Linked DNA regions of Sus scrofa. The protein of the gene in region 6 interacts with the protein of the main gene of each other region in a pairwise test. Links are inferred from orthologs where the notes say so. Each region holds a gene or a part of one and is shown on either strand. Other genes may lie near its edges. The genes, in order: EIF1AD, EAF2, MFAP1, LYAR, NIF3L1, BEND7 and C9H11orf57.

Region 1 (4,138 bases), on a different chromosome or scaffold from region 6:
AAGTGAGGGTAGGGGTAAGGGCCAGGACCAGGAATTCACTCAGAAAAGCTGGTAATTGCTGACATGAAACTGGCAAGGAAAGGAGAAGGGAGATGCATGCAAGTGTGAGAATTCCAAAAAAGGTGACATGGTGAGGGGAGAGAACTCCCAAAAGATGCTGGAGTACGTTGGAAGTGCACACAACAGCAATCTTTTCCTTTGTAGAGGATGGGGGAGGAGTCCTGGCTTGGCTGCAAACTCTGGAGACTCAATGCTGGGGCTTGGGGTCGGGGGCTCCCCGGAGGGCATCACAAGAAGGCATCACACCACTCCCGGAGGCACCCGAAGCAGTCCCGCGACTGCTTGGCATTGGCGCCACACGTGTCCTTCAGCCATTCCCGGAAGAGGTCTTCATCTTTCTTGAGCACCAGAAACTGGCCAAGGACCACATAGGCCTGCAAGACAGGCAGAGGGAAGGGCATGCTGCTAGGTGCTCTGCGGACCAGGAACGAGGCCCTCAGCCTAGGAAGCAGGGCCGGCTCTGGCTAGCCCTGCAGAATACATGCCACTGCCCACCCCCAACGGGTCCACTCACTCTCCTCCCGCCCCAACTGCCAGGAAAGAGCCCAGCAGGCCATCCTCAGCCCTCCCCAGCTGCACGCAGCCACCCCACACCTTGTCAAAGCCCCTTTCCTCCAGCTTCTTGCCCAGTACGTCACCAATCCCGGCCAGGCTTCCCACTGGCTTTTCCCCCATGGGCTCTGCCACGAAATCTCGGTGCTTTTGGGAAGTTGTCATCTTGATCAAGCTTAACCTGAGAATCCCAAGAAAAGGCAGGTTAGGGCTGAAAACCCGGGAACTCCTGAGGGCCCACTACCAATCTCACAGTTAAGAGGACGCTCGACCAGTCATCGCAGAAGCTTACTCGCTTCTCCCCCCACTTCACGGACGAAAAAAGCGAAGCCTAAGGAGTCTTTTCCTCACTATTCAAAAGAGAAATCTCTTCCACTCCTTGCAGGAGCTGGTTTCGGTACCACCCCAGAGGCAACACTATCTTGCTCTAACAGGTGGCGCACGCAGAGCAGAGTCAAGATTCCAAGAGTCTGTCAGGACCCAGGGCTCGCCCTGAAATTGTCACTCCTCGGTGACCTTGGCTGGGCCCAAGTGGCACTGACCCTGCCTGCAACGGCTACCTGGCCCGTAAAGCAAATGAAGGACTCTGTCCCACCCGGCCCGCCAGCTAATCACAAAGCAGAAGCGAAGCGGCTTCTCCAGCCCGGCGGGCTGCACGCCAGGGCTCCCGCCGCGCCCCACGCCGCCGGCCCCGCCCCCAGCGCGCCGCGCCCCGCCCCCTCCCCGCGCCTCTGCGCTCGCGCGCCGCGCCCCGGCCGATCCCTCTCCGAGGGCGCATCCTCTGGCCCGCCGCAGTGCTTGAGGCGCCTTTCCCCTTCTCTTCCCCGCGCCTCCGCCAGTCTCCAGCTTGGGCCCTGCACCGCGGCTCGCACTCACCCGCAGCTCCGGTTCCCGTAACGGCCTCTCCCGCCACCCGGCCGCTCCTGCGGATGCCTCGACCCGCTAGAACTTTCGCCCCACTTCCGCTTCCGGGTCGCCTCAAGAGCCGCCTTAAAAAAAAACCCAAAATTACATTGGGCACCTCTAGCCGCGTGAAGTCATAGAGTTGAGATTGGGCCGGGGTTGAGGGGGCGGCGCGCCAGCGTGCGTTTAGGAGGCGCTCCTTTCCGGTTGCTTTGCGGGAAGCCGGGCAGCTTTCTGTGGTCTCACTGCTCGGGAAATATTTCCGGTCTGAGGGAGCAGAGGCCTGGGAGGAGAAAACTTTATTTCTCGGCGGCGCGACATTTGGAACTTAAGGATTAAACGTGGCCTACTTGGTGGTGGGAAGAATTAGAGGAGCGGACAAGGAGGGAGGTGTGGCTGGGAGGCTTCCGAGAGAGCGCCGGAAGTAAGGGGTTTCCTCGGGCCGGCGCGTGCTGTCTTCCTCGCCGTCCGGCTTGTAAGAGACTTGAGTCCAAGGGGTCTTCACCGGCGCGACCGCCGGCAAGTCCATTTTCTGTGCGCTCGTTGACTCAGCTACAAAGCGAGTCGTTGACGAGACGTGTTCAGCGTCCAGCCTGGAGAACGGGGTCGTTCCGCTTCAGGCATCGCCCGTGGGATCCGAGGGCCAGAGAGTAAGTTTGGGTTTCTCTCACTGAGCGTCTTTCCTTCGGGGTAGGAAGGGAGGAGGGCAGGCAGGGGACGGCAACTAGAGATGACACTTCGGCGTTTCCTTTGGAAACCGGCCGTCTTCTGTGTGCGCATCAGTCCTCGTCTTCTCAGTACCCAAATCATAAACAGCAGATGCCAAAGACCATGTCGGCCGGCCCTGACCTTAGTTAACTTGTTCCTAACTTGAATTCTTCTCCCTGGTCCATGTCTGTGGTATGTTGAGAGATTGAGCATCTGTTTGTGTGGCTGTGCTACGCTTGGGATGTACAGGCATACCGAAGAAGAGTTTATGTGATTCTTTCTCCCCCTGGTTGCCAGAATGACTTGTTTTCCTGAAACCCGTGTTTAGTTTTTACCGTTGTATTTTTAAATTTGTTTATTTGTTTTGGCCGTGCCTGCAGCACATGGAAGTTCCCGGCTCAGAGATTGATTCTGTGCCACAGCAGCAACCTGAGCCCCTGCAGTGAGAATGCCAGATCCTTAACCTGCTATGCCACAGGAGAACTCTTGTCACACGAGTTGTTTTTACGTGCTTTACAGTGCTAAGTGCTTTGCTTATGCTCATTCTTAGAGCAGTGCTCTAAGTTAGCTATTGTTTTTCTCTGAAGTCTAGAGAAATTGAACAGTCATGAAATACCCAAGGTGGGATTTGAATGCAAGTAGTTCTCCTTAACCTGACACTGTGTCCTCCCCAGTAAAAGGTCCCTCCCCATCTTTAGAATAGTCCTTCTGAGACTGCCATCCAAGAAACTCAGGGAGAGGAGCTGACAGTCTCTGCATCCCTCACCCCCACCCTGGGACAGGACCCAACAACATGTCTCAGGCCACCAAGAGGAAGCACGTGGTGAAGGAGGTGCTGGGGGAGCACATGGTGCCCTCCGACCGGCAGCAGATCGTCAGGGTGAGTGGCACTGGGGTGGGGACAGGGTGACTGTAGCTCAGCAAGGGTTGCAGCTGGCTGATAATGCTGACTGGTACTTGGTCTCTTCTGGACCAGGTGCTCAGGACCCCAGGGAACAATCTGCATGAGGTGGAGACAGCCCAGGGGCAGCACTTCCTGGTGAGCATGCCCTCCAAATACCGCAAGAACATCTGGATCAAGAGAGGTGAGAGAGGCAGCCCTTTAGGAGACCAATTCTGATAGCCTTGGCTTCCCTCTCTGCCAGCAGGGCTGACTTCCCTTTTCCTTTTCTCTGTCTGTAGGGGACTTTCTCATTGTTGACCCTATTGAAGAGGGAGAGAAAGTGAAGGCCGAGATCTCCTTTGTGCTCTGCAGAAATCATGTGCGCGCTCTACAGAAGGAAGGGCTCTGGTAGGGTGAGCCCCTTGGTCACTGGCTGCATGGCTTCTGAGGGACCGACTTCCTAGCACTGGAATTGGGGGGAGGGGAGGTCCCAGTGTCCCAGGCTGGATCAGCTGGAAATAGCTTTTTTGCCCAGAGGTTTCTCTGTCCTTTCTGACCTTGGCTCTTCTCTTGGCACAGGCCACAGGCCTTCTCCGAAGTGGCTGAGAAACACGATGATAACAGTAACAGGTGAGGCACAAGTCTCAGAGCAGGAAGCCAGAAAATGGGGCTTCTGGCTGTGGTGCCCTGAGGGAAAATAGAGCCTTCCTCCCTTCCTATGCAGGGGCCGTGGCAAGCGCTTTTACATATGTGGTTATGCACATGGCTGGAAAGTCATGTCTTCTTCAAATCCTGGCTTTGTCAGTTCTGAGTAACTTTAAGCAGGTTAATCTCTTAAGCCTGATGTCATTGCCTGTAAAAATGGGAGCTTTGTAAGAATTACAGAGGCTGTTGGTTCTAAAAGTGCTTAGTATACTATCTGGTAAGCAACGTGGGTTCATTGAGTGTTAGTTGGAGTTGATATTATTAAAATTAGTAGCTCTAGGAGTTTCTTGGTGGTACAGGAGGTTAAGGATCCAGCGTTGTCACTCT
Region 2 (4,232 bases), on a different chromosome or scaffold from region 6:
AAAATAATAATTCCTACCTCCTAGAGTAATTCAAAATTTGGAAGAGAAGGCAGCCACCAAGAATGGTCCTAAAGCGTTGCATGACAGTAAAGTCTCAAAAACAATAACCATTTGGAGAACGTTTACTGGATGCCATGAATTGTTTAAAATGCTTTCAGGCATTAACTAATTTAATCCTCTCAACAACTCTAAGGTGTAAGTACTACCTCTTCCCCTAATTTTAATGACAAACATACTTACTTTGGTTTGCACAAGGTCACAATGTAGAGCATGAAGCTGAGGTTCAAACTCATAAAAGATTCTGGCTCCAGAACTCAGGTGCTTAACTACCACAGGAAACAGCTTTAGTATGCTTAAAAGAGTATAATTTACACAAGCAGATAGGTTGAGGGGGACACATTTATCTACTTGCCTGGAATAATAAATTTGGCAAAGGAATAAGTTAACTAAAGAGTAGTCTGATTATACAATTACCCTGAAAAACCACCAGTGTTATGGCAACCATTTGTAAACTTTCTCTTGAGTGTTTCTCTTCTCATACAGCACTTCTCTCATCTCTACCCTTAAACTCACGAACTTTTGACAGATTAAAAAAAAAAAAAAAGACAAATTATTTTTCAATTATTAATGTTATCACCCTGTAGCCAGAGCAAAAGCTCTGGCCCTGATCTTTTGGGAATCTTGTCTTTCGTGGGGGCCGTGTCGTTACTGCCTGCACGCATCACTGTGAAGAAAATAAACGAAGGCAACCAAATGCAAACCAGCCGCAGGGGATCCTAAATATCTGTAGTTCCTAACTCTGAACTCTTTTTCCACTCCCTCCAACCCCCAACTCCTACTCCCCTCTGGGACCTGACCATTGGGACCCTGCTCTGGAACATAAGGTCAGAAAACTCTTGCTGAGGTAACGGCGTCGCCTCCAGTCAGATCCAAGGACCACGGCTCGGTGGGCACTGGTTCCTTTACTCAGGATTCTAGATCCAGCTTCGGCGCTACCAGGCCTCGGGCACGACGCCGCGCCTGGAGTCCAGGTTCCGCCCCTCCCCCGCCTCAGTTTCCACACCAGATCTCCACAGAAAGGCGTGGAGCAGGCCGATTCTCCTTTTAGAGCTCCTGCAAGTCGGGTCACTTGGCCCATAAGCTTGGAGTCCAGGCCTCCCGGCACCCTGGACATTCTCCTTCCCTAGCCGCCGCCTCACGTAGGCTACCTCGCTCCGTTTCGCGTTCCTCCTCAGCAGCACACAGCTCCTGCCGTGTACCTCAGAACCATAGCCTCCCGGGGCTGCGTGCGTCCCAACGTGAGAAGGGGGAGGGGCTCGGCTGCGGGACCCGGAGCCTCGGGGCCAAGGGGCGGGCACTCCTAAGGCGGCAGCCAATCAACACGCGAGAGGCATCCTGTGGGGGCCACGCTCCCCGGGCGCGGGGCGGAGTCTTTTTTGGCTGCGTAGGCGGCTGCAAGTGCAGATGTTTCAGGCTGAGTTGGCAGCTGGTGGTGAGCGCTGCTGGCGGAGGCAGTTCAGAGACCGAGGAGAATAATGAATGGAGCAGGGAGACCCTCGCGTATTGACAGCCGCGAGCGGGTTCTCAAGTTAGGCGAGAGTTTTGAGAAGCAGCCGCGCTGCGCCTTCCACACTGTGCGCTGTGAGTGAGGACGACCCCGGGGGAAAGGGGGAAGCTCTGGGTATGGGGGTGCGAAAGAACAACCCTCTCCAAGTCGTGTTCGCACAGACTGCTGACTCTGCGGGAGAATGGGGTGCCCAGCGCAGTCCACTGCCATACCCCGAGTCCGGAAGGGTCGGTGCAAGCACCTGGGTGGAGCAGGTGTGGGTAATTCTGGGCAGAGAGATTTAAGTGAGACCAACAGGTAGGAAGGGCCACTTGTGGAGAAAGGCTGCGGGGTGACTATGGATGGAGAGAGACGTAACTGGCGGATCATGCAGAGGTGGAAAGGAAAATTCAGTAGACCCTTGAACAAAGCAGGGAATAGGGGCGTCGACCCCAAGCAGTGCAATATCCACGTATTCCTATCTCTGCCTCAAAAACGAAGGAATTGATACCGGACTCACCTAAGAAGCTGAAACCTTTTGGGTAGAATCAGGACTCTTAACCTAGTTCTTTTAATTACCTGTGTTGTGATCTCTAATCAGACACAAGCATTTCCCCACACTACGTTAAAGATCTGAAGATGAAAATATAAACTATTTATTGAAAAAAAACCCACGTATAACTGGACCTGCGCAGTTCAGACCCGTGTTATTCTAGCGACAACTGTAATAAGGTGACAAATGGAGAGGGCAAGGGCCGAACTATTATTATGCAGGAGGAGGTGAATGCCTTGAGGTTGGTGGGGAAATGTTCTTTCCTGTCTTCATTTTTGATGTCTCTGACTGATGAGGGTGTTATTTAGTGTGTTCCTGGAGAGAGATTCTGGATCATTCTAATAATCTGTGTCTCTTTTGGACCCCCAATTTCATTCAATCAGTTTTCAAATACTATCAAAGTTTTGAAGGGTGTGTTATTAATATACTAGAAAGACATTTACTGCTTATGATTTCTCCTTTTGTTTGTCCTGGGGAAGTAGTTTTGATATACTTCTCTTTCATGTTGTTGAGGTAGAAATTGGAGCTCTTTTACTTTAATAGTTGGATGGTTTAGATTCCAGAAAGGAAAAGATAGTATATTATGATTTGGTATGTAAAACATTCATTCTTTACATAATAGTCCTCATAGAATTACAGAGTGGGAAGGAAACTTTGAGATCATCGAACCATAAACCTCTTATTTTTCTGTGGCAAAATTGTAAAGTAGGTATTTTTTCACTTCCTCTTCCTAGCCCTGCCCTTCCTTAGTCTCATCCCTCCACCTTTCTCATTCTGTCTTTAGACTGTTCAGAGATCTTTGTTGTTGTTGTGCTGTTTTTTTCTGAAGTGTTTCATGTTTCAATTAGAACACTCAATTAAAACTCACGTTTTCCAAGTTTACTTAAGTTATACACAATCTAATTATTACTAACTCACAGTAAAGGTTTGAAGAACCAATAGGTTTAACTCTCTAAGGCTATATTTACATTTTTAAGAGGGGTTTTATTAAGCAGAATTAATATCCAATTGATAGAGTAAACAGAGGAGATATGTGCAGACAGATCTTTGTGTACCTTGTTTATTCTTTATCATAATTTGTGGTCCAAGGCTTACCACAGTGAGACAGCTGTGCAGTTTCTCTGCTTCAGTCCCATTTTCCAAAAGTATGATATAGTTCTTATCTGGTTTCTCCATGCCTTTCTCTCACATAATATCTTCCCTCTCCTTTCCTCTTCTTTCTCAGGTATGCATTAGTCTTAGTATTAGTTTTTTTTTTTTTTTTTAACTACAAGGTTTTAGATTATACAAATTTGCTTGAGAATATTTTTTCATATAACTTGGGTATAAGGTCTCTTTTTAAGGGTGAGCCCCCAAATAAATAAATAACAAACAGCCTTTGAAAAACACTTTATAGGTGCTTCAAGCCTTTTATTTACAAAAATTTCCCAAATGGTGGAATTGTATCTTCAGAATTAGAGAATTGGATGATCCAATTACAAGAATGAAAATAAACAAAACAACAACAATAACCACACTAAACCTAGATGTTTGAACACACTTCTAGTCCTGTGGCAGACATTAGAAAGGTTTTCAACCCTTAGTTTTAGTCTTCTTTTTGAAATAGACAGAACCTTTCTAGATTTATTAAAATAAAACCAGTCATTGTCCTTGAGATTAGGTTCATTTTACCATATGATCCTGACTCTTATGGACTCAGAGTGAGGGATGGTAGATCTGACTTTCATACAGGGCAGGTGAACCTAATTAGTTTTTTATTTTTAAAAAAGTGTACATTTCTAATTGCAAACAAAAGTTTATTTTTATTTTAATTGTCAGCATTACATATAAAGATATATTTTTCCTCACGAAGATTGAAAAATAACTTGTTTCTATTGTTTAAAAATATATTCATGTTTAAGCTTCATAATGAAGTAGAACACAAATACATATATTAATTTCAACTTTTCTATTTACTTTGTAGCTTTAGACAATTCACTTTAAGTTGCTGAGCTCATTTATCTATAATGAAGCAATAAATTCAACCAGTGTATCGTTTTTTATTAAAATTATGAAATGCCCCTAAATTGATAGATATGTGAAAAATACAGTTTTTTCAGTAGCAATTTTACATAATGGTTCCAGCTTTCATTC
Region 3 (4,273 bases), on a different chromosome or scaffold from region 6:
AACCAACCAACCAAAAAAATGACCTTAACAGATACCTCACCAAAGAAGTTATACATATGGCAAATAAGCATAACTTGCAGTGGGTACGGCAAAACAATGGAGTAGTTGGGGCAACTGGCTAGCCCTGAGGTAAATACTAAAATTAGATCTATAATGGATGCCACACACACACACAATTCCAGATAAGCTAAATACTCATGCACGAAAAACACATCTTAAACATTTACATCCCTGCTGGACTGTAAGCTCCTTAACTTATAGTCTGTCTTAGACAACTGTGTAATCCTTCCTATTCAGAATATACAAACACTTAGATAACCAAAAATCTTTTTTTTTTTTTGGTCTTTTTAGGGCGGCACTCAAGGAAATGTGGAGGTTTCCAGGCCAGGGGTTGAATCAGAGCTGCAGCTGCTGGCTACACCACAGTCACAGCAACACGGGATCTGAGCTGCATCTGGGATCAACACCACAGCTCACAGCAATGACAGATCCTTAACCCACTGAGCGGGGTCAGGGATCAAACCCGAGTCCTCATGGATTCTGGTTGGGTAAGTTACTCAAAAGACTTTTTTTTTTTTTTTTAAATTGGGAAGGGGAACTCAAAAGACTTTTTTTTTTTTTTTTTTTTTTTTTTAAATTGGGACGTTCCTGGGCCAGGGACTGAAACTGGGCCACAGCTGGGATCAGAGCCACAGCCAAGATAATACTGGATCCTTAACCTACTGAGCCACCAGGAAACTCCAAGGATTTCTTAAACAGTATACTAAACACCACAAAACATAAAAGACAAAATTGTTAAATCTGTCAACAATAAAACTAAAAACACCTGTGTGACAGAAGACTCCATAATTAAAAGACAAGCCAAAAAACTCTGGGAAATAGATATTAAAGTTTGGGGGAGTTCCCATTGTGGCACAGTGGCTAACGAATCTGACTCGGAACCATGAGGTTTCAGGTTCGATCCCTGGCCTTGCTCAGTAGGTTAAGGATCCGGCATTGCCGTGAGCTGTGGTGTAGGTCGCAGACGCGGCTCAGATCCCTAGTTGCAGTGGCTGTGGCATAGGCCGGCGGCTACAGCTCCTATTGGACCCCTAGCTGGGAACCTCCATGTGCCACAGGAGTGGCCCTAGAAAAGGCAAAAAGACAAAAAAAAAAAAAAAAAAAAAAAAAAAAAAAAAAGATTTGGGATGTGTCAGAACAAACTAAATAGAAAATGGGTAATTGAAAGAGATAATTCATAGAAGACAACACCTAGAGAGATGATAAACACACAAACAAGATGCCTAGTAATCCTGGACTCAGGAAATTGCAAATTAAAATAACGTGCTATTGTTTCACACCCATTAGATCGGGCAAATAAAAAAAATCTCATACAACCAAGATTGTGGGTAATATAACAGGAAATAAAAACTTTCAATGCTCTTACAATCCACTGTGGAGAGCAAATGGCAATAGGTAGTTAATTGATGAAGAACTTCTAGGAGTCTACCCTAAAATTCTTAAGGCAGTGCACTAAAGAATGATAACTGCAGCGCTGTGTGTAAGAGGAAAAAAAGTAACAAAACAGCTAATTGTCCCTCAGCAGGGAACAAACTCCATATAATAGACCTCATAAGCAGTTAAATTAATAAGATCTCCATGTATCCAAAGGCACTTATCAAAAAACCACAGAGTTTAAGGAAAAAAAAAAAAAAAGGCAGGTTACACAAGGATAAGTACCTTATATTTAAAAAACAGGAAAGAAGTGATATTATTTTCCAAATATCTTACTGAAAAAACTCTTGACTTTTCAGTCTGACTCCCTAAACAGGTACAGTGTTGCTTCATCCATCTGCACTCACTGGAATCAAACCTATCCTTTAAAGATCAACTTGAGTACCCCAGTCTGAAGAGATTATTCAAAGCGCTTGGTTTACATCACCTATGTAACAGTATTAGGGGTGCGAAAGACTGCACACTTGCTTAGAATAGGTCTCTTTTTGCATGAATCACGTCTACTATGAGTTCCTTAAGGTTAGGGGTACTGTCTCTGTATTAAATTTAACAAATACAGTCACTGCGTTGGTTGAAAGGGATTAAAAAGTTTAATAAGAGAGGGTTCCTGCCTTGAGGAATCTATGAGTTTATGATGCAGTAGAGAGAGATGGACACATAATTACAGTAAGAGTTATAAAAGCATAAACAGATTATGGATAACAAAACTGGGATTGTATCCCGCACAACGCCTTCCAAACAGCAAGCGTTCACTTTATTTATTACTCTAGTTTATTGGTGGAGGCCAAGGGAAGAGGATGCTTGCTGTAGGAGTGAACCGACAGGCTCTAGGAACAAGATGAGGTGGAAATAGTGTGGGTGTTTTTTTCCCTTCTAGGCAACGCGATTGGATGCGAGTTTGATGGCGAAAGAAATAGGGGGCAAGGTCTTAAGGATCGCTGGGGCTGAGGTGGTGGGCCCGGGGTCGGTTTGGAATATGCTAGGGAAACAAGTAAGATCCGACTGGAAAACAGCTCAACACAGTACCTTTCTCATTGCGAACCGGGACGGCCCCAGCCGTAGACTGAATAGGCGGTTGTTTCATGAGTGCGCTTGGGACCGACATTTTGATGGCAGCGGCGGTGATTCCAAAACTTGACTGATTCCAAACTGTGAACAGGTACAACGTCAACGAACAGAAAATCCTCCGCACCAGAGGCCACTGGACACTGCTGCGTACTGATAGAAACACCACTTACGGCTGAGCTAGAAAAACAGGAAATGTACGACTAGAGGATTGTGGGATTGTGGAGGACGTCAGGGAGCCAAAGTCCGTGGAGTCTGTTACTGCGCATGCTCATAAACTCCCTGTCGACCTTAGTCTCGCGGTATTTGGACGCCACTTCTGGCGGGAAATGGCTCTCTGGACTTTGCGGTTAAGACTCTGAGGTCCGCGGAAGACCCGAATTAAAGGTTTCGCTGATTAGGTTCGTTTGAAGCCGAGGAAAATGGCAAAGTGATGAAGAAGAAACCGAGGAGTTAGAGAAGGACAGTGTGTTCAGATTGTTGAAAGCTAAGAATTAGAGTTAAATCGAAATAGAAATCCTGCTAATAGCACCTGATTTTCTCACTTGATGAGACCGAGCGGTTTGTAGTGCGATATTTTTGGGTTACGTCAGGGCAAGTGGTGCTAATTTAGACCAGTGGCAGGAAAAAAAAATCCCCTAAACGGCTTAGAACAATGCCTGAAATCCAAACACTCTTAGGCGTTTCAGTTCTTTCCTTTCTAGAGACTGCCTATTAAAACATATTCTTGGCTGGAATGGTTGTATATGAAAGTCCATAAGTAATTATTAAGCACTTGCTGTATTTACCTCGTTTAGCTCTAAGGAGTATGGAGCATTGTTAAAAGGCTTATGTCTTCCAAATACTTGAATTTTATTTAGGAAGTCTTCAAGGGCTTTTACAGTAATATCAGAAACAATCCCAATTTACTTGCTGGGCTGTGTAAAAAACATAGGCTAATTGAAAGTCAAAACACATTCAGTGTAGAAAGGATTTTATAACTGCTGTGGTGGGGAGGGAAGGGACACATGAGCAAAGTCTTGAAGTACAGAAATTGCATGGTATATATATTAGACACTATGAAAAGTTTGATTTTATCAGTAATTTTTCATTTGAGGAGTGTGAAAGTTCCTGAAGGGCTTTGAAGGATTCGTTCTAAAATTATTTCATCTGTGTTCTAAAATTGGGCTTAGGCTGGGAGAAATACAATTGAGCAAATCTCCATTAAGGAACAATGGATGACTCAAGTAAGCCATCAAAGGAGCAATTTTGAGCTGGAAAGAAAAGGACTGTAAAAATAGAGCAAATAGAAATTTGTATTATAATTTTATCAGCTTCAAAACCGTGCTATTCAGAAGGAGTAAATCTGATGGGAAGGCAGTTAGTTGTTTCTGCTCACGGACATCTAGAGAATAGAAAAAAAAGTTTGATATGACTGTAACTCTTAAATGCAGTGCCCTAAAGTCTTACATTTGGTGCTTTTGTGATACAGAAGCTATTGAGAACTTTCTCCCAGTGTTGGGGCTTTGTAAGGTCATTACTAGAATCCTAACTGGTGGGCAAAATTTAAACCAGCTTAGTTAACTTGTGGGTGAAATTAAACCAGCTTGTTATTGGCTCTTGAAAAAATATCAAAATGCTTCCTTTCCTAGGGAGAAGATAATAAGGTAGCCATAGGGCATAGTTTTCTGGTGGTGGGGTTACAAGGAACTAGGAGTCAAGGTAAAAGGCTGCA
Region 4 (3,500 bases), on a different chromosome or scaffold from region 6:
CGACTACAAAAACCATGTGAAATGCATAAGTGAAGATCAGAAGTATGGCGGCAAAGGGTATGAAGGCAAAACCCACAAAGGCGACGCTAAGCAGCAGGCGTGGCTTCAGGTAAGGTCTTTCTAATGCCTCAAGTAGCTTCATCTGTCATCTTCTACTTTCCTTGGAAGCCTAAGAAATGAGGAAAAATGTATCATTTAGAATGGATAAGCAATGAGGTCCTCCTGCATAGCACAGGGAACTATATCCAGTCGCTTGGGATAGACCCTGATGGAAGATGATATAAGAAAAGGAATGTATTGAGTTCCCATTGTGGCTCAGCGGTTAACGAATCTGACTAGGAACCATGAGGTTGCGGGTTCGATCCCTGGCCTTGCTCAGTGGGTTAAGGATCCGGCGTTGCCATGAGCTGTGGTGTGGGTCACAGACACGGCTCAGATCCCGAGTTACTGTGGCTCCGGCGTAGGCCGGCAGCTACAGCTCTGATTAGACCCCTAGTCTGGGAGCCTCCATATGCCGCTGGAGCGGCCCCAGAAAAGGCAAAAAGACAAAAAAAAAGAAAAAAGGAATGTATGTATATGTGTGACTGGATCACTTTGCTGTACAGCAGAAGTTGGCACAACATTGCAAATCAACTATAATTTATCATCCGTGTATCATGCCTCAGGATAGTTCTTTTTTGTTTGTTTGTTTTTTTAGGGCTGAACCCATGGCATATGGAAGTTCCCAGGCTAGGGTCGAATCCAAGCTGCAGCTGGCGGCCTACACCACAGCCACAGCGATGCCAGATCCAAGCCTACGTCTGTGACCTACACCACAGCTCACGGCAACACCGGCTCTTTAACCCACTGAGCAAGGCCAGGGATCGAACCGGAGTCCTCATGGATACTAGTCAGATTCATTTCCACTGCGCCACAATGGGAACTCCCAGGATGGAGTTCTTTATTCCTCTTTCAGTACAGGTGCAGTGTATTTTGTCTTTGTTGCACACGTTTTGCTGATTTCTTGCAAAAATGTTTCCAAATTGTCACTAACTTTCCCTTGGCAATGGAACAGACACTTCTTAATCCGCACCTGCGTCTGATGGCGGTGCACCTTTTATCACTCAAACCCTGTTAATCCGGACGTCTGACAGTCATCAGAATCCGGCAACATAAAGACTTTTCCTAAGTATGAGGAATTTTCCATTTCTAAAACAAAATGAAAACATACAGTGAAAGTGGCGAAAGCAATGAAATCCGTGATTTACTAAGAGGTATAACTTCCAGAATGTTACTTACCATATACAAAATAGTAACTGGAGGAAAGATTCAGAAGGGAAGGCAGGAGAATGAAAAGACAAATGCTATCTGTGTAGAAATTCTGTATTTTTCTGGAAATCAAGCGGTTACTCTGGGGAGCTCCTGTTGTGGCGCCACGGAAAGGAACCCGACGCGTATCCGTGAGCTGTGGAGTAGGTCGCAGACCTGGCTTGGATCCTCTGTGGCTGTGGCTGTGGTGTAGGCCGGCAGCTGCAGCTCCGATTCAACCCCCAGCCTGGGAACTTCCATATGCCTCGGGTGCAGCCCTAAAAAGCAAAAAACAAACAAACAAACCAAACACCACAGTTACTGTCTTTGATGCTAGAGTTCAAAGGTGAATTTTCTGATTCGGACTAGCTTACTGAGTTAGCAAACTCCAGGGAGGGAAAAATCTCCTATTCACTAAGGACTGATGGCGCTACTGAATAGCTAAGATATTTAGGCCAGCAGCCACCCGCCCACTTCGGGGCCTTATGTCTCATCTCCCCAAGAACCAGGTGACGTCCTGGGCCCCTGAGCTTGAGGTGTGTACCCGGTGAGTGAGTTCCATCTCTGTTGACATCGCATCTTGAGTGAAATCCCCTAAAGCAGGGATCAGCAAACCCTGGCCCCCGGGTCAGGTCCGGCCCCCTGACCTCTTTGTAAGGTAACGACACATATCCGTCTCCCTTGTAGCCATGGTGTCTGGTGGCACCTTTAGAGCTGCAGGATGGCACTGGGTAGTCAGAACAGAAACTGAATGGTTTGCAAAGCCTCAGGTCTATACAAAGAGGGTTTGCCCAGCCTCACCCTACCCTGCCAGGCTTCAGTAGCTGTGCCACCTGTTAGAGATCGAGGACTTTACGCTGGGCTCTGTCCTGGTCCACCTGTCACTCTCTCCGTTCCCCCGCCACCCGCTCCCTAGCTGGCCTGGCTAACACATGCCTGAGACTGCATGTGGTGTGCTGGGAGCGAAAGGGAGGCCTCTCTGTCCAGCAGAGATGAGGTTGGGTGTTAGTTCTTTCCCTTAAATTCTTAAACTCCTCAACTTTGGGGATTGAGTTTTGGGGTCCTGTCAGTGTTACTTCCTGTTCGCTGAGCATCCTTCCAGATGTCTCGGTGCTTTGCACGCAGAGGGCGGATGGTGGGTCAGGGAGCAGTGGCCTGTTTAGCGTGAATCATGGTGCTCCCCCCCCCAGGCTGGCCAGTGCTCTTCTCTTCTGGTTCTGCAGGAGGATCCAGCCAGAGCTGAGCCAGCCTGACTGCTTCCTTGTTCGTGTTTATCTCATTCTCTTGATTTTCTTGTTCGGCCTGGGTACCTGGAGAAGCTTTGCCTCACACTTTTTTGTGTCCTGTATCAGTTTTTCTGGTCTGTTTACTTGTAGCTTTAGTTCTTCCTGATACAGGGACATTGTCCTGCATTGTGTTTGTTTGGCTGCATTATTTGTCCTTTTGTTGGCTCGTAAGGGACCTTCTTTTTTTCTTTTTTTTTTTTTAAATTTAATTTAATTTTTTTGTCTTTTTAGGACCTCACCGTGGCATATGGAGGTTCCCAGGCTAGGGGTCTAATTGGAGCTGTTGCTGCCGGCCTACACCACAGCCACAGCAACGCGGGATCCAAGCCACATCTGTGACCTACACTACAGCTCACAGTAATGCCAGATCCCCGACCCACTGAGCAGCAAGGCCAGGGACCAAACCCACATCCTCATGGATACAGGTCAGATTTGTTTCTGCTGAGCCATGATGGGAACTCCCTGCAGCTTGATTTTTAAGTGTTGGATTTTGTATCCTGCAACTGCTGAACTTGCCGATTGGCTCTGAAGATGCTTTTTGTGGAATTGTTTGGGTTTTCAGCATACACGACCATGTTGTCTGCAAACAGAAAAATTTACTTCCTTTCTAATGCCTTTATTTCTTGCCTAATTTGTCTGGACTTCCAGTCAGTACTGTATTGAGCTTGCAAACATAGGCATTAATACAAAATTTGGAGTTGGACGAGTGAATCCTCGAGTTTGACTTTGATGAAACTCAGCTGTCAGTTGTATATTGTTTTTATCTTCCTTTTCCGTAGAAAATTAATGAACTAACAAAAAGACCCAATGTCAGCCCCAAAGTGAAGGAACTTTTACAGCAAATCAGTGGCTTTGACAACGTTCCCAGGAAAAAGGCGAAATTTCAGGTGTGTGTTTGATAAGACTCCCTTGAATGGGGAGGGGTGG
Region 5 (3,500 bases), on a different chromosome or scaffold from region 6:
AAATGCCTTAACGAGGGCACTGATGAAATCCAGTACATCCGTCCAGTGACCATGTAAAAAGAATGATAGCCTTATATAAACTGATAGGGCAAGGTAGGGCATTGTGAAAAGTGAGAAAATGGAATAGGCTTTGAAATAGTACTTGTAGAGAAATATAAAAGATAAGCGTATAAAAATGATCTGGACGTCAGTGACCAGGCCTAACATCACTCCTTTTTAAACCACTTTCTGGCCTGTCTTTAAGATCCAAGTCCTTGTAAAACCTTATTGGGCTCCACTTGCTCCAAGCACCCACCTCTGTAAGTCTCAAATGATTTGTCATTCCTTTGTGCTCCCATAAGAACCGTAACATGTTTTGTATTTAAACACACTTTTATTATGATTGTTTAATCAGCTGTCTTTCCAAGAGACTGTGTGCTCCTAGAATGTCTTTGTCAGGTTTGCATCCCACAAAATTTTAGCCTGGAGTTGGCTATAGTAAGCTCACAGTACGCTTGTTTTAGTGACCTTAGCATTTGCTATTTGTCTGTAGATTTGTTGTCTAAGACTGATAATGGACAGTTGTTCTGATTTCTGTTTCTCGTTAGCCTCTGCTTCTGCATACTGGAATGGGACGGTTATGCACACTGGATGAATCCGTCTCCTTGGAAACCATGATCGAGCGCATCAAAAAGCACCTAAAACTGTCTCATGTTCGCCTTGCTCTCGGAGTAGGGAAGACCCGAGGTACTTATGTCTCCACTATACCTATCGATAATGTGCAAAAATTGAAATTCCCAGCTCGGTCAGTGTAAATGATAGAAAACTGTGTTCGCAGGAGATGGCTGGTTTACTCTATCAGTCAGAGTGGCCGAGGTCATGCCGCCGTATACATCTCACTGGCCTAAACAAGATTCGTTTCTCAGTCACACTTCACATTCATTTCAGATCAGTAGGGGAAGTCTATTTGTTGTAGACTGGTCACTGTTGCAAAGGGAGGATTTTCAACCATCTCAGTTAAACATTCTAGCCTGGAAATTAGACATATTCTGTTCAGTTTACTATCCAGAGTTAGTCACATTGCCTGACCTAACCCAGGAAGAGAATGCCCTGGAAGAAAGCTGGAAATTGTGATTGCTCTAATTACAATGCAAATCTTAAATTTCATAGTACCAGTGTCATTTTGTAGTGAGGTGCTGCTAAGTCTCTTAGTCTCTGCTCTTTCTCTTGGCTTTTCCCAGTACTTTGGGGAACAAAAGGGACAGACAGAACAGATGTTGGACCCTTGAAGTGAGCCCAGCACTGCCCCAAGGGTTCCCACTTTGGTGGTGGTGAGCAGAGTGCTGTTGTTGTGATTGTGGAATCTAAAGGCCTTGGATTCACGTTTGTTCTGTCTGCTGCATGACTTTGATAGGTTATTTAACCTCTCTGTGTCCTAGTAACCTCATCTCTAAAACTTCAGTAATCATAAAACATAGTTCATCGAAGTGGTGGCATCATCCATGTGACAGGGCACATGACTGGCACACAATTTTTTTTTCTTTTTTTTTTGTCTTTTTGCCATTTCTTAGGCCGCTCCCACGGCATATGGAGGTTCCCAGGCTAGGGTTCAAATTGGAGCTGTAGCTGCCGGCCTACACCACAGCCACAGCAATGTGGGATCCGAGCCACGTCTGCAACCTACACCACAACTCACAGCACCACGGGATCGTTAACCCACTGAGCAAGGGCAGGGATCGAACCCGCAACCTCATGGTTCCTAGTTGGATTCGTTAACCACTGAACCACGATGGGAACTCCTGGCACACATTAATTAAAGTCTAGCTATTGTTAGCTATTGGATAGGTGTTATTATTCCCACTGCATAGGTGAGAAAATTGAGGTTCGGAGAGATAAGTAACTTATCCAAGGTCCAAAGTTGGATCAAACAAGTCATGAGAGTTTGTTTCCAAAGATGGATGGCAGCAATGGGATTGGCCTTCTGACCAGCTCTAGTGCCCTTCTTGAAATACCACTAATGAAGCATCCATTCTATAAACCTAAGTTCTAAACACTTGCTGGATTTTGGCTTGAACATTTGTATTTTACTCCTCAGTGGATGCTTTTTAAAGACAAGTACAGGAGTTCCCGTTGTGGCACAGCAGAAATGAATCCAACTAGGAACCACGAAGTTGTGGGTTCAGTCCCTGGCCTCACTCAGTGGGTTAAGGATCCCGCATTGCCCTGAGCTGTGGTGTAGGTCACAGATACGGCTCAGATCTGGCGTTGCTGTGGCTGTGGTATAGGCTGGCAGCTATAGCTCCGATTAGACCCCTAGCCTGGGAACCTCCATATGACACAAGTGCGGCCCTAAAATGACAAAAGACCAAAAAAATGTCTGTCAGACTCATTAGTAGCATTCTCTAACTAGCCCCTTTAGTTTATCAGCTTCTTCACCTGGGAACTGCCTCCCACTGTTACCTGGAGACCCAGGTGAGGTTGCTTTACTGAGCAGCATTGCAATAAAGCCTGAAGCCTGGTGCAAATAGTGATCAATACGATTCAAATCTGCCTTCTGTGGGCTTGTGCAGCACTGTGTGTCCGAAGGAATAAAAACCCTGCCTTGGGTTAGCTCTGCAGTACCAATAGTCTGTTTGCCTATATGAAGACAAATGTATTATTGTTTAAAACTTAGTAAACAAAATTCATGTACTGGTGATGAGACTGGGAGTGAAATCTGCGTGACATTTAGGATTCTTGTTATAAATTATGTTAAAATGCAGGGGAATTGTAAAGTATTGGCCTCTTGTTTCCTTTCTCTTGAAGAGTCCCCTGTCAAAGTCGTGGCCCTGTGTGCTGGCTCTGGGAGCAGCGTCCTGCAAGGCACAGAGGCTGACCTTTACCTCACAGGTAGGATGGCCTTGGATCTTTTTTCTATCCTTTTCTTCTGCATCCCTTTCCAACTTTAGTTTATTTTTTATAAGTTAAAAAAAATTTAGGTCAGCACCTGACATAAAAATTGATCTAATAAATGTTTTTTGAACTTGAGCTAAATAGGAACTATACCAAAATTGGGGATATACCATATTCTTTGTGGAAGGGAAAAAAAATCATTTAACAATTAGATTATCTAAAAAACTGATGTCCCGCACTTATTTAACCTGTCTTATTCCTTGAACATGATTTCCCTCAGGTTTCTTTTTCTTTTTTTGTCTTTTTAAAAAAAGACACCCATGGCATATGGAGGTTCCCAGGCTAGGTGGTCTAATCAGAGCTGTGGCCGCCGGCCTCCGCCAGAGCCACAGCAACACCAGATCCGAGCCGCATCTGTGACCTACACCATAGCTCTTGGCAATGCCGGATCCTTAACCCACTGAGCAAGGCCAGGGATCAAACCCAAAACCTCATGGTTCCTAGTCGGATTCGTTTCTGCTGTGCCACGACAGGAAATCCTTTTTTTTTTTTTTTTTTTTTTTTTTTTTTTTATTTCTCTCAGATTTCATGTGTAAGTTAATGGGACACTTGTTAATGGTAAACCTTGT
Region 6 (4,019 bases):
ACAGCCATTTCCTTTTTTGGGCCTTAGACCTCACAGGACAAGGTCTACAAAACTACTGTCACTTTTGATAAAGTGGCAGATTCCCTGAGGTCATAAATAAGAAAGCAGCCAACACTCCAGAATGAATAAGAGAGACCAATAGGCCAGTCACATGTGGATCAACTTCTAAAGTACAAATGACTGAGTAATCAACACTTCTGGGGGGAAAAAATGTACATAAAGGGGAAAGCCAAACATTTTGAGTACATAAAACTATGTCAGGCCTTTTTCATTCAACAGTATCCAAAGTCGGAGGAAACAGAGAGAAGTAGGTCCTCAAGATGCCTATAATCAACCATTTTGAGACTAACCGAAAGCAGGCTTTATTGAATCTAAATCATAGTTAGCTCAGCTTAGCTGGAAATTGCAATTGCCCTCTAATTTTCATCAGCTTTCATGTGACTTCTCCAGGTTGTTACAACAATCGCCCTGCTCTCTACTCTGATGCCAATGCTAGATAAAACAACAGAGGAACAGAGTGGACAGGTTCCCTGGTTTGCTTTTGACTTCAAGCTGATTCAAAGAGGATATTTAAACAGGATCATCCCAAACTCAATATTAAGACTTGAGACATGACCCCGAGAAAAGGCTACCTGCTTCTAATTTAAGGTGACACGATCCATTGGATAGACCTATTTTTACGTCTGCCCTTAAGTTCTCCTTGTTTTTAAAAAGTCAAATCAGGAAAAATAAAGACTCTAACCAGTCACAGAACAGAGGCAGGACTATTCAACTTTCCCCTTCCCTGGAAACAAAAACAAAAACAAAAACAAAAAAACACCAAACCCCAAGCCCAGAAACTGTGGTATACACCTGTTAAATCGTCAGGGAACGGCTGGATTTTTTTTTTTTTTTTTTAATGATACTTATCCGACTGATAAGTGATCTATTCTAAAACCTTTCCAGCCCAAATCATGTATCCAGAAAAGATGCTGAACGTCAACAATTCTCATTTGGGCTTGGACACCTAATGAGCTTCTTTCTCGATCTTAAAAGAGCCACCATCACCTTTTTTTTTTGTCGTTCTCTCTGGGGGAGGAAAAAACAAACAAACCCCAAACCACCACAACCATTGGTCCGGATTGGTGTCCGAACGGCCTAATGGCAAGGCGTTCACCCCCCACCCCGCAGCCGAGCCACAAGAGTGGAATACCAAAGAAGGCTCTTCGCTCCCCAAGTGTCATTGTTTGCTAATTTCCTGATGTGCCCTCCGACTTGTTTACGCGGAATCATATCCTGCCTCCCCCCCCCCTCCCCGGCACAACTTTCCCCGCCGCCTGGCGGGTGCGGCCGCAGCCCCCTCGGGCGGGGACCCCCGGAGTGACCGCGCGGCCGCGGCGAGGGGCGAGGGGCCGGGGGCTGTTTACGCGGCGCCAGATCCTCCCTCCGCCGCCCGCACGCCCCCCGCCCGGGCCGGCTCGGCCCGGCCCGCCGCTTACCTCGGCTCACCAGTTTGAAGCTCTGCGATTTCCTGCTCCTCTTCCTCTCCGAGAACTCCATGGTGCCGCGGGCAGGCAGGGCAGGGGCTGCGGCCGGGGGCGGCCGGCCGGGCGGAGGGAGGGAGCGGCGGCCGAGGCGGCGGCGGCGGCGCTGGCTCTTGTCACCCGGCAGCGGGAGCGCGGGGACCAAGGTCCGTCTCTTGGATCCGCAGGGGGGAGGCACAGGCGAGGGAAAAACCACTCGAGCCCGCCCGGGGGCTGCGGCCGGCGGGGCTGGGTGGGAGGCGCTCTCCCGGGAGAAGTTGCCCCCTCCTGGCCGCCGCTCAGCGCGCCCCCCGAGCCCGGCTCATCCCCGGCTGCTGGGCGAGACGCCGCCGGAGCCGAACTTTCCGTTGGGGAGCGAGTTGGGGGCGGGGAGGGCGGGCCGGAGCTGCCGGCGCCCTGGGCGCTCGCCGCGGGCCGGCCTGGGCGCAGCTCCGGACGCGGCGGCGGCGGTGGCGGCGGCGAGCGCGGCCCCGGGGACGCGGCCGGCGGGCGGGCGGGCCGAGGGCGGCGGCGGCGGCGGGGTGCTAGCCGGGTCGGGGCGCTGACCGCCCCCGCGGGAGGAGGGGCGCTGCGAGGAGGCGGCGCCGCCGGGACCCCGGGGCCACCTGCTGGCAGAGCGCGGCCGCCGCCACCCACCGGCCTGGCCTCGCGGCGCCCCGAGGAGAAGCCGGAGGCCGCGGCGCAGCGCCCTCGGCCCGGCTGGCCGCCCTGCCAACCCCCGGGGACGGCGGGCCGTGCCCGGCGCGGGGGGTCGGCGAGTCGGGGCGCTGCTGTCGGGGGCTCGGCTCCCTGCCCGGAGCGTGCCCGCCGCTCCCCGGGGCGGATCTCGTTCTCAATAGCCCTGGGTGTCTGAGACCCTCGTGGCCAGCTCACTCCTCGCCTTGAGATTCAGGGTGTCGGAGGGCCAAACTCCCTGGTTTCAGGCAAGTTTGGGGGTGGGGGTGGGGAACCAAACCAAAAACTTACCCATCTGCGCTCTGCAAGGAGGAGAGGTTTTAGAATTTACGGATGAAGCCGAGTATGGAAAAGAGTAAGCTTCAGTTCTTTACCACCCCAGTACAGGAGGGTTGCAAGAAGATCGGGAGTTAGAGTCAAGGAGAGAACTTGGAATGTGGGGCTTGGGAGGGCGGAAGGGGTGAGCCGTGCGACGTCAGTGGGTGCAGGATCGCTCTGCTGACTCTGAGGGAAGAAATGGCCAAGGCAGGTGCCGAGGGCTCTGCCATTTCGTGTAAGAACTCCAGAATAATTGGCAGGAACGCAAAGCTTGTATTCGTTTTATATAATATTCTTTTCTAGGGAGCGAAGAGCGCACTATTGCTTCCTCACACCAACTTCATTGTGCGGATGGAAGAGAATTTTATACCACCTGGGAATGGTAGTACAGAAAGGTGATCTGACAAGCCTAAAAGTACTGCCGTCAAACTGATCATCTCTAGACCAAATACAAAGAGAGAAAAGAGATGGACGACCCATCTAGCCCTGTGACAAATTCAGGTGGCCTCAAAAGAGTACAGAAGAGTGAGGGGAAAGGGTATGTTGATAAATGTGGTAACAGGTTCCACCGTGAGTCTCATTCAAATGGGGGAGACAGCTTCTCAGGATCCACTCTTATTTAAGAGGGACAACTAGGAGGAAGGGGGAAGCGGGAGGCCACCTGCATAAATGCACCTGCACCAGGAAATCAAATTAAGGAACAAGTAACCCACCAAATACTGGAAGCAGAGCCTGGTACACCTTCTGAGGTCTTATGTTAGGTGGTATATATGCAGCAAGTGGGGAGGCTGTTTATATATCCCTGGCTTGGAGATGAGACAGAGGACTGTTCAAACCCTTAAATAAGAGGTTCTGAACCTATTGGGTCACTCTCTCCTCAGAGATTATATGCAGAGCTCAGGGCCTTTGCCCAGAAAACATGTGTAGGACAAACAAAATTTTGTGTAGATTTTTTTGTGTGTGTGTGTGAGTTCTAAAAGGTGGCAGAAAGAGTTAAAGGGATAACAAGGGTTAGTCACCTACCGAATTTGGTTCTCTACCATTTAATACCCCCTCCCCGCCTTAGAACCAAACACCCAAAGATGTTTTGAAGGTGTCTAAAGAAATAAAGAGTATGATTTTGTTCCCTGGGCTGGGACCCTTATTTCTTTCTCGTAATGCCTCTAAAAATATTATTCCAGAAGCCGCAAGGCTGAACACTATACTGATTGAGAAACATTGAGGATCGTTCATGCCTTGGAGCATAAAATGAGATTTTATTATGCTTAAGCTATGATGAAATCATTGAAGGTGCCATACTAAGAAGCAGATCCCTAGGGGGATTTTAACAACTTAGCATTTTCAGTTCAAGAGGGGATATGAATTCTATTTGCTGAAGAAAATATTTTTGATACAGTTATGAAGAAAATTTTTCATTGTAATAATGTTTTAAAATAATGGTCATTTTCCTTGACCCTTCTTCCTGGCTCAATATGAATGGTCTGTGTGCAATTTGGTCTACTG
Region 7 (4,012 bases), on a different chromosome or scaffold from region 6:
GGGCCGCACAGAGCTGTTTCCCCTCTTTCAGCTGCTGTTGAATGAACTTCTCATAGCTCTCAGGGTTACTTTCAGCCAGATCATCTAGAAGGTTCCAGAGTTGAGTAACTTGGGTGAGCAGACCTTTTGAGGATTTCTCCATGATTGAGATGAATTAGGCCTCTTAAATCTGTGGAAAGACATTTGAGGGAAAAAAGGTCTACTGATTCATTTATTTTTGGGGGGAGGAGGAATACGTCAGGAATTGTTTTGTTGAAGTTAGCAACTATCCTTAATACCTGTGTCTAAAAGACTGTGGCTCAGCACCATTTTATCTTTTCCTTATTCTCTAATTATCTAGTACCACTTCCTACATTCTCAAGATGTTCCCTCAGATAATAAGGCCTTACCTCTGTCTAGAGCCTCAAAAACCCTAAGGGGACAGAGTAATCTTTTAAAGTTTGGATTTCCTGGAATTTTCTTGTTCCAGTATCCTGGTATTAGCTAAGTGGTGCCTATCCAGTTCCTTTATTTGCTAGAGGTGTGCTGTGGATTGAAGGCTACACAAGACTTCCTCAATCTTTGGTATAATCTAGTAGTTAACAGCATGGACTCTGCAGACAGAATGCATAGAATTCCAGTTTTAGCTCTATCCATCACTTACTAGCTGTGTGATTTGAGCATTTAATTTACATACATGTATCAGTTTATTCCCCTCTAAATGAAGACAATAATACCTATCTCGTAGGGTTATCGTGAGGATTAAGTAAGGTAACACAGAGAGGCTGAACACTTGCTAAGCCTTACATAAGAATAGTAATATTCTCTCCATGACTTGAGGTAACCTTCCTCCCTCCTCCTTCCCCTCAATGGAGACGTGTCCCATAGCATCGACAGAATGAGGAAAAGAGTAAGTTTGGGTTGCCTGAACACTACAGGAAGGTTAGACTAAAAGGGAAATGTAACTGTCTTTCCAGAGGTCGGCAAACCCACCTCCTCTCTTGGTTTCCTGACAAACCGCGACGCCTGTTACCGGGGTAACCATCTTGGTACAACATCTAATTGGGTCCGGGAAGCTCCAGGCAGAAAGTTCTTTTTACACCTAGTTCCGGAATCTTCTCCTTCTGGTGCTGGGCTTGCTTTCTGGCTGAGCCCGACCCACTTCTTTTCCAGGAGGGCGCTCACCTCCCTTTCTGCACCTGTTGACCTCTACAGTGTCCTGGAAACCCTCCTGTGGGAGTCTCTGTGACTCCTGTTGGTGGGAAGAATTTCTTAGGGGCACGACTTCCGGCCTGAAAAGGAAGTCGGCTTCCTTCTCCCCCAGATCCCTTCCTCCCCCTGCCCCCGTCACGCGAGGCTGCGGCGCACGGTATGGGTGTGTTTGTGTGTGTTTCTGTGGGGAGGGTGTTTGGAGGGAAGGTTACCGGGAGCTCCGCGGCCGCTGGGGGGCAGGGGTGCCGGTGACGAAGATGGGGGTATTTTCTGTGTCTTCCACTTGGAAGCCTCAATCCCCTCTTCAGCCACTCTAGGTACTTTTTGGGGCCCAGTCGAGGGGCGTCCCCGGCCAAAGCGTCCCCATCCTTTTGGGAAGGCGGAACCCAACCTCGGGGCCGTCCCAGAGGAGCGTGAGCGGGGAGTGCGCTAGCCAACTTGGCCGTCCGGATTCCGAGCCAGAGCAGCCTCCGGCCTCAGTCCGGAGAAAAATCTGCCTGTCGGCCTGGGCTGGGGAGAGGCGGCGGTGGCGAGGCCCACGGGTGAGGGCGGAATAACCGGTGGGAAGGCTGCGTTTTCACGAAGGACTCGGGTGAAGCTGCAGAGCTGCCTTTGAGCCCTGACTCCTTGGCTTCCTGGGTCGGAGGAGATCTTGTAATGGAGTGGTTCTTCGTCTCACACTAACAAGATGCCTGATTTCCTCAGGATCAAGGGGTGAGTGAGCGGTGGGGTGGTTGCACAAAGCCCTTGCTGGCTACACACGTGAATATCCCTGTCCTCTGTTTTTTGGAGGTTTCTGTCCAAAGTAGAATATAAGATACCCTTGAATGGAGAAATTTAGGGCATCTCGGCATTCGATGTTTTTAGACGTCAATTTTTGTTACTGTTGACATTTGTTTCGCTGACATTCTCAAATCTAGGTATTTACTTAATTGCAGACTAATTTTGGGATTCAAAAACTGGTTTCTAATCTAGACCTCGTTTGCCTTGGAATATGTGGCCTGGGGCAAGTTATAGCTTTAAGAGAATTTCACCTACGAAATAGGAATGAAGATACCTGCCTCATCTAAAACAATTACTTTGAGAATTAAATGATGTTCCTCAAAGCACTTAATTTGTGCAGTTTGAAAGAACTCCAGTGGTCATTACCTCCTTTCGTCCTCACATTGGTGTGGTCAGGTGTTTTCCCCTTTAGTGGTGAAGGAAAAACTATTCTGCACGACCTGTGACTTCAGTGATTTTCCCTTTAACTCATGCTTTATTAAAACACAGTAATAAAAATAAGGTAACATAGTGAATTATTATTAAAAGTTACTTATCGATTCATTTCAGATTGAAGAATGTCCCGAGTTCCCTTGGGGAAAGTCCTCCTGAGGAATGTCATCCGGCACACAGATGCTCACAATAAGGTGAGAGGTCCAACCTTGTGATTCCTCTTGCTTAATGAGGGCATACAGTGTGCCGTAAATTATTTTGGTACAGTTGGGAGATACATGATAAATCAAATAGAATTAGAATATAATTTGATAAGTATAATGGAGACATATACAAAGTGCTTTCATGCACTGAGGAAGGAATAATGAAATCTGCCTTGGGGAATTAGGAAAGGCTTCATAGAATGGGTGGTATTTGAGCTTCTGATATTTGAACTGGTTCTTGATGAGCAGGCTCTAGTGTACCAGGTGGAAAACATTATTCAGGGCAGAGGGAAAGTCATGCACTAGCATATACAAGGAGCGTAAAGAACTTGGGGCAAGAGATTGTATGTATCCAGAGAGAAGAGAAGGGGGACCAGGGGCGGGGGGGGGATGGCAGAAGATGAGGTCTGAGTGGTAAATTACAGTTAGATTTTGGTGCTTAGAGATTAGACTTTTTCCTCGAGGCAGAAAAGAAACCATCACATTTTTTGTGTTTGTTTTAATTTGTTATGAGAATTTTTTTTTAAAATGTCTTTTTCTTTTCTTTTTTTGTGTGTTTTTGCCATTTCTTGGGCCGCTCCCGCCACATATGGAGGTTCCCAGGCTAGGGGTTGAATCGGAGCTGTAGCTGCCTGCCTATGCCAGAGCTACAGCAAAGCGGGATCCAAGCTGTGTCTGCAACCTACACCACAGCTCACGGCAATGCCATATCCTTAACCCACTGAGCAAGGCCAGGGATCGAACTTGCAACCTCATGGTTGCTAGTCTGATTTGTTAACCAGTGAGACACGACAGGAACTCCATAAAAATGTCTTTTTCTTTTTACTGCCACAACTGTGCCATGTGGAATTTCCTGGGCTAGGGGTCAGATGGAGCTGCAGCTGCTGGCCTACGCTGCCATAGCAGCACTGGATCCTCAACCCACTGAACAAGGCCAGGGATCAAACTTTCATCCTCAGAGTTCCCGTTGTGGCTCTGATTAACGAATTCGACTGGGAACTATGAGGTTGCGGTTCGATCCCTGGCTTCACTCAGTGACTTAAGGATCTGGTGTTGCCATGAGCTGTGGTGTAGGTCGCAGACGTGGCTTGGATCCCAAGTTGCTGTGGCTGTGGCATAGGCTGGCAGCTGTAGCTCCGATTAGAGCCCCTAGCCTGGGAACCTCCATTTGCTGTGGGTGCAGCCCTAGAAAATACAAAAAAAAAAAAAAGAAAAAACCTTGCATCCTCATGGACACTATGTATGGTTCTTAAGCCACTGAGCCACAATGGGAACTTCTTTAATTTTTTAAAAAAATTTAAAAATTTAAGAAATTTTTAAAAGTATCATTGAGCTACAATGTTGTGTCAGTTTCTGATGTACATCAGTGTTCAGTTTTAGATAAGTGTATTCATATATATTCT

Evidence for each region.
Region 1: the proteins of BEND7 (region 6) and EIF1AD interact in binary tests that used the Homo sapiens proteins (3 or more experiments, as listed by UniProt). The two-hybrid records come from large-scale screens. The link is inferred for Sus scrofa from reciprocal best matches to the Homo sapiens genes BEND7 and EIF1AD.
Region 2: the proteins of BEND7 (region 6) and EAF2 interact in binary tests that used the Homo sapiens proteins (3 or more experiments, as listed by UniProt). The two-hybrid records come from large-scale screens. The link is inferred for Sus scrofa from reciprocal best matches to the Homo sapiens genes BEND7 and EAF2.
Region 3: the proteins of BEND7 (region 6) and MFAP1 interact in binary tests that used the Homo sapiens proteins (3 or more experiments, as listed by UniProt). The two-hybrid records come from large-scale screens. The link is inferred for Sus scrofa from reciprocal best matches to the Homo sapiens genes BEND7 and MFAP1.
Region 4: the proteins of BEND7 (region 6) and LYAR interact in binary tests that used the Homo sapiens proteins (3 or more experiments, as listed by UniProt). The two-hybrid records come from large-scale screens. The link is inferred for Sus scrofa from reciprocal best matches to the Homo sapiens genes BEND7 and LYAR.
Region 5: the proteins of BEND7 (region 6) and NIF3L1 interact in binary tests that used the Homo sapiens proteins (3 or more experiments, as listed by UniProt). The two-hybrid records come from large-scale screens. The link is inferred for Sus scrofa from reciprocal best matches to the Homo sapiens genes BEND7 and NIF3L1.
Region 7: the proteins of BEND7 (region 6) and C9H11orf57 interact in binary tests that used the Homo sapiens proteins (3 or more experiments, as listed by UniProt). The two-hybrid records come from large-scale screens. The link is inferred for Sus scrofa from reciprocal best matches to the Homo sapiens genes BEND7 and NKAPD1.

Annotation. Positions count from the first base shown.
Region 1 is NC_010444.4:6,333,544-6,337,681, forward strand, and holds the start of EIF1AD (probable RNA-binding protein EIF1AD), read left to right. Parts: upstream 1-1,338; 5' UTR 1,339-2,165; intron 2,166-2,897; exon of another isoform or gene 2,898-2,921; 5' UTR 2,922-3,016; coding exon 3,017-3,103; intron 3,104-3,199; coding exon 3,200-3,308; intron 3,309-3,405; coding exon 3,406-3,514; intron 3,515-3,685; coding exon 3,686-3,736; intron 3,737-4,138. Other genes in the region: BANF1 (barrier-to-autointegration factor), read right to left, coding at 288-434, 655-777.
Region 2 is NC_010455.5:138,678,808-138,683,039, reverse strand, and holds the start of EAF2 (ELL-associated factor 2), read left to right. Parts: upstream 1-1,432; 5' UTR 1,433-1,535; coding exon 1,536-1,641; intron 1,642-4,232. UniProt on the Homo sapiens protein: Acts as a transcriptional transactivator of TCEA1 elongation activity. Acts as a transcriptional transactivator of ELL and ELL2 elongation activities. Potent inducer of apoptosis in prostatic and non-prostatic cell lines.
Region 3 is NC_010443.5:127,739,934-127,744,206, reverse strand, and holds the start of MFAP1 (microfibrillar-associated protein 1), read right to left. Parts: upstream 2,801-4,273; 5' UTR 2,600-2,800; coding exon 2,521-2,599; intron 1-2,520. UniProt on the Homo sapiens protein: Involved in pre-mRNA splicing as a component of the spliceosome.
Region 4 is NC_010450.4:6,087,832-6,091,331, forward strand, and holds part of LYAR (cell growth-regulating nucleolar protein), read left to right. Parts: coding exon 1-109; intron 110-3,352; coding exon 3,353-3,460; intron 3,461-3,500. UniProt on the Homo sapiens protein: Plays a role in the maintenance of the appropriate processing of 47S/45S pre-rRNA to 32S/30S pre-rRNAs and their subsequent processing to produce 18S and 28S rRNAs. Also acts at the level of transcription regulation.
Region 5 is NC_010457.5:104,597,301-104,600,800, forward strand, and holds part of NIF3L1 (NIF3-like protein 1), read left to right. Parts: intron 1-587; coding exon 588-726; intron 727-2,784; coding exon 2,785-2,868; intron 2,869-3,500. UniProt on the Homo sapiens protein: May function as a transcriptional corepressor through its interaction with COPS2, negatively regulating the expression of genes involved in neuronal differentiation.
Region 6 is NC_010452.4:48,176,375-48,180,393, reverse strand, and holds the start of BEND7 (BEN domain-containing protein 7), read right to left. Parts: upstream 2,801-4,019; 5' UTR 2,490-2,800; intron 1,990-2,489; exon of another isoform or gene 1,678-1,989; 5' UTR 1,540-1,677; coding exon 1,479-1,539; intron 1-1,478.
Region 7 is NC_010451.4:39,774,367-39,778,378, forward strand, and holds the start of C9H11orf57 (uncharacterized protein C11orf57 homolog), read left to right. Parts: upstream 1-1,212; 5' UTR 1,213-1,348; exon of another isoform or gene 1,349-1,905; intron 1,906-2,523; 5' UTR 2,524-2,531; coding exon 2,532-2,600; intron 2,601-4,012.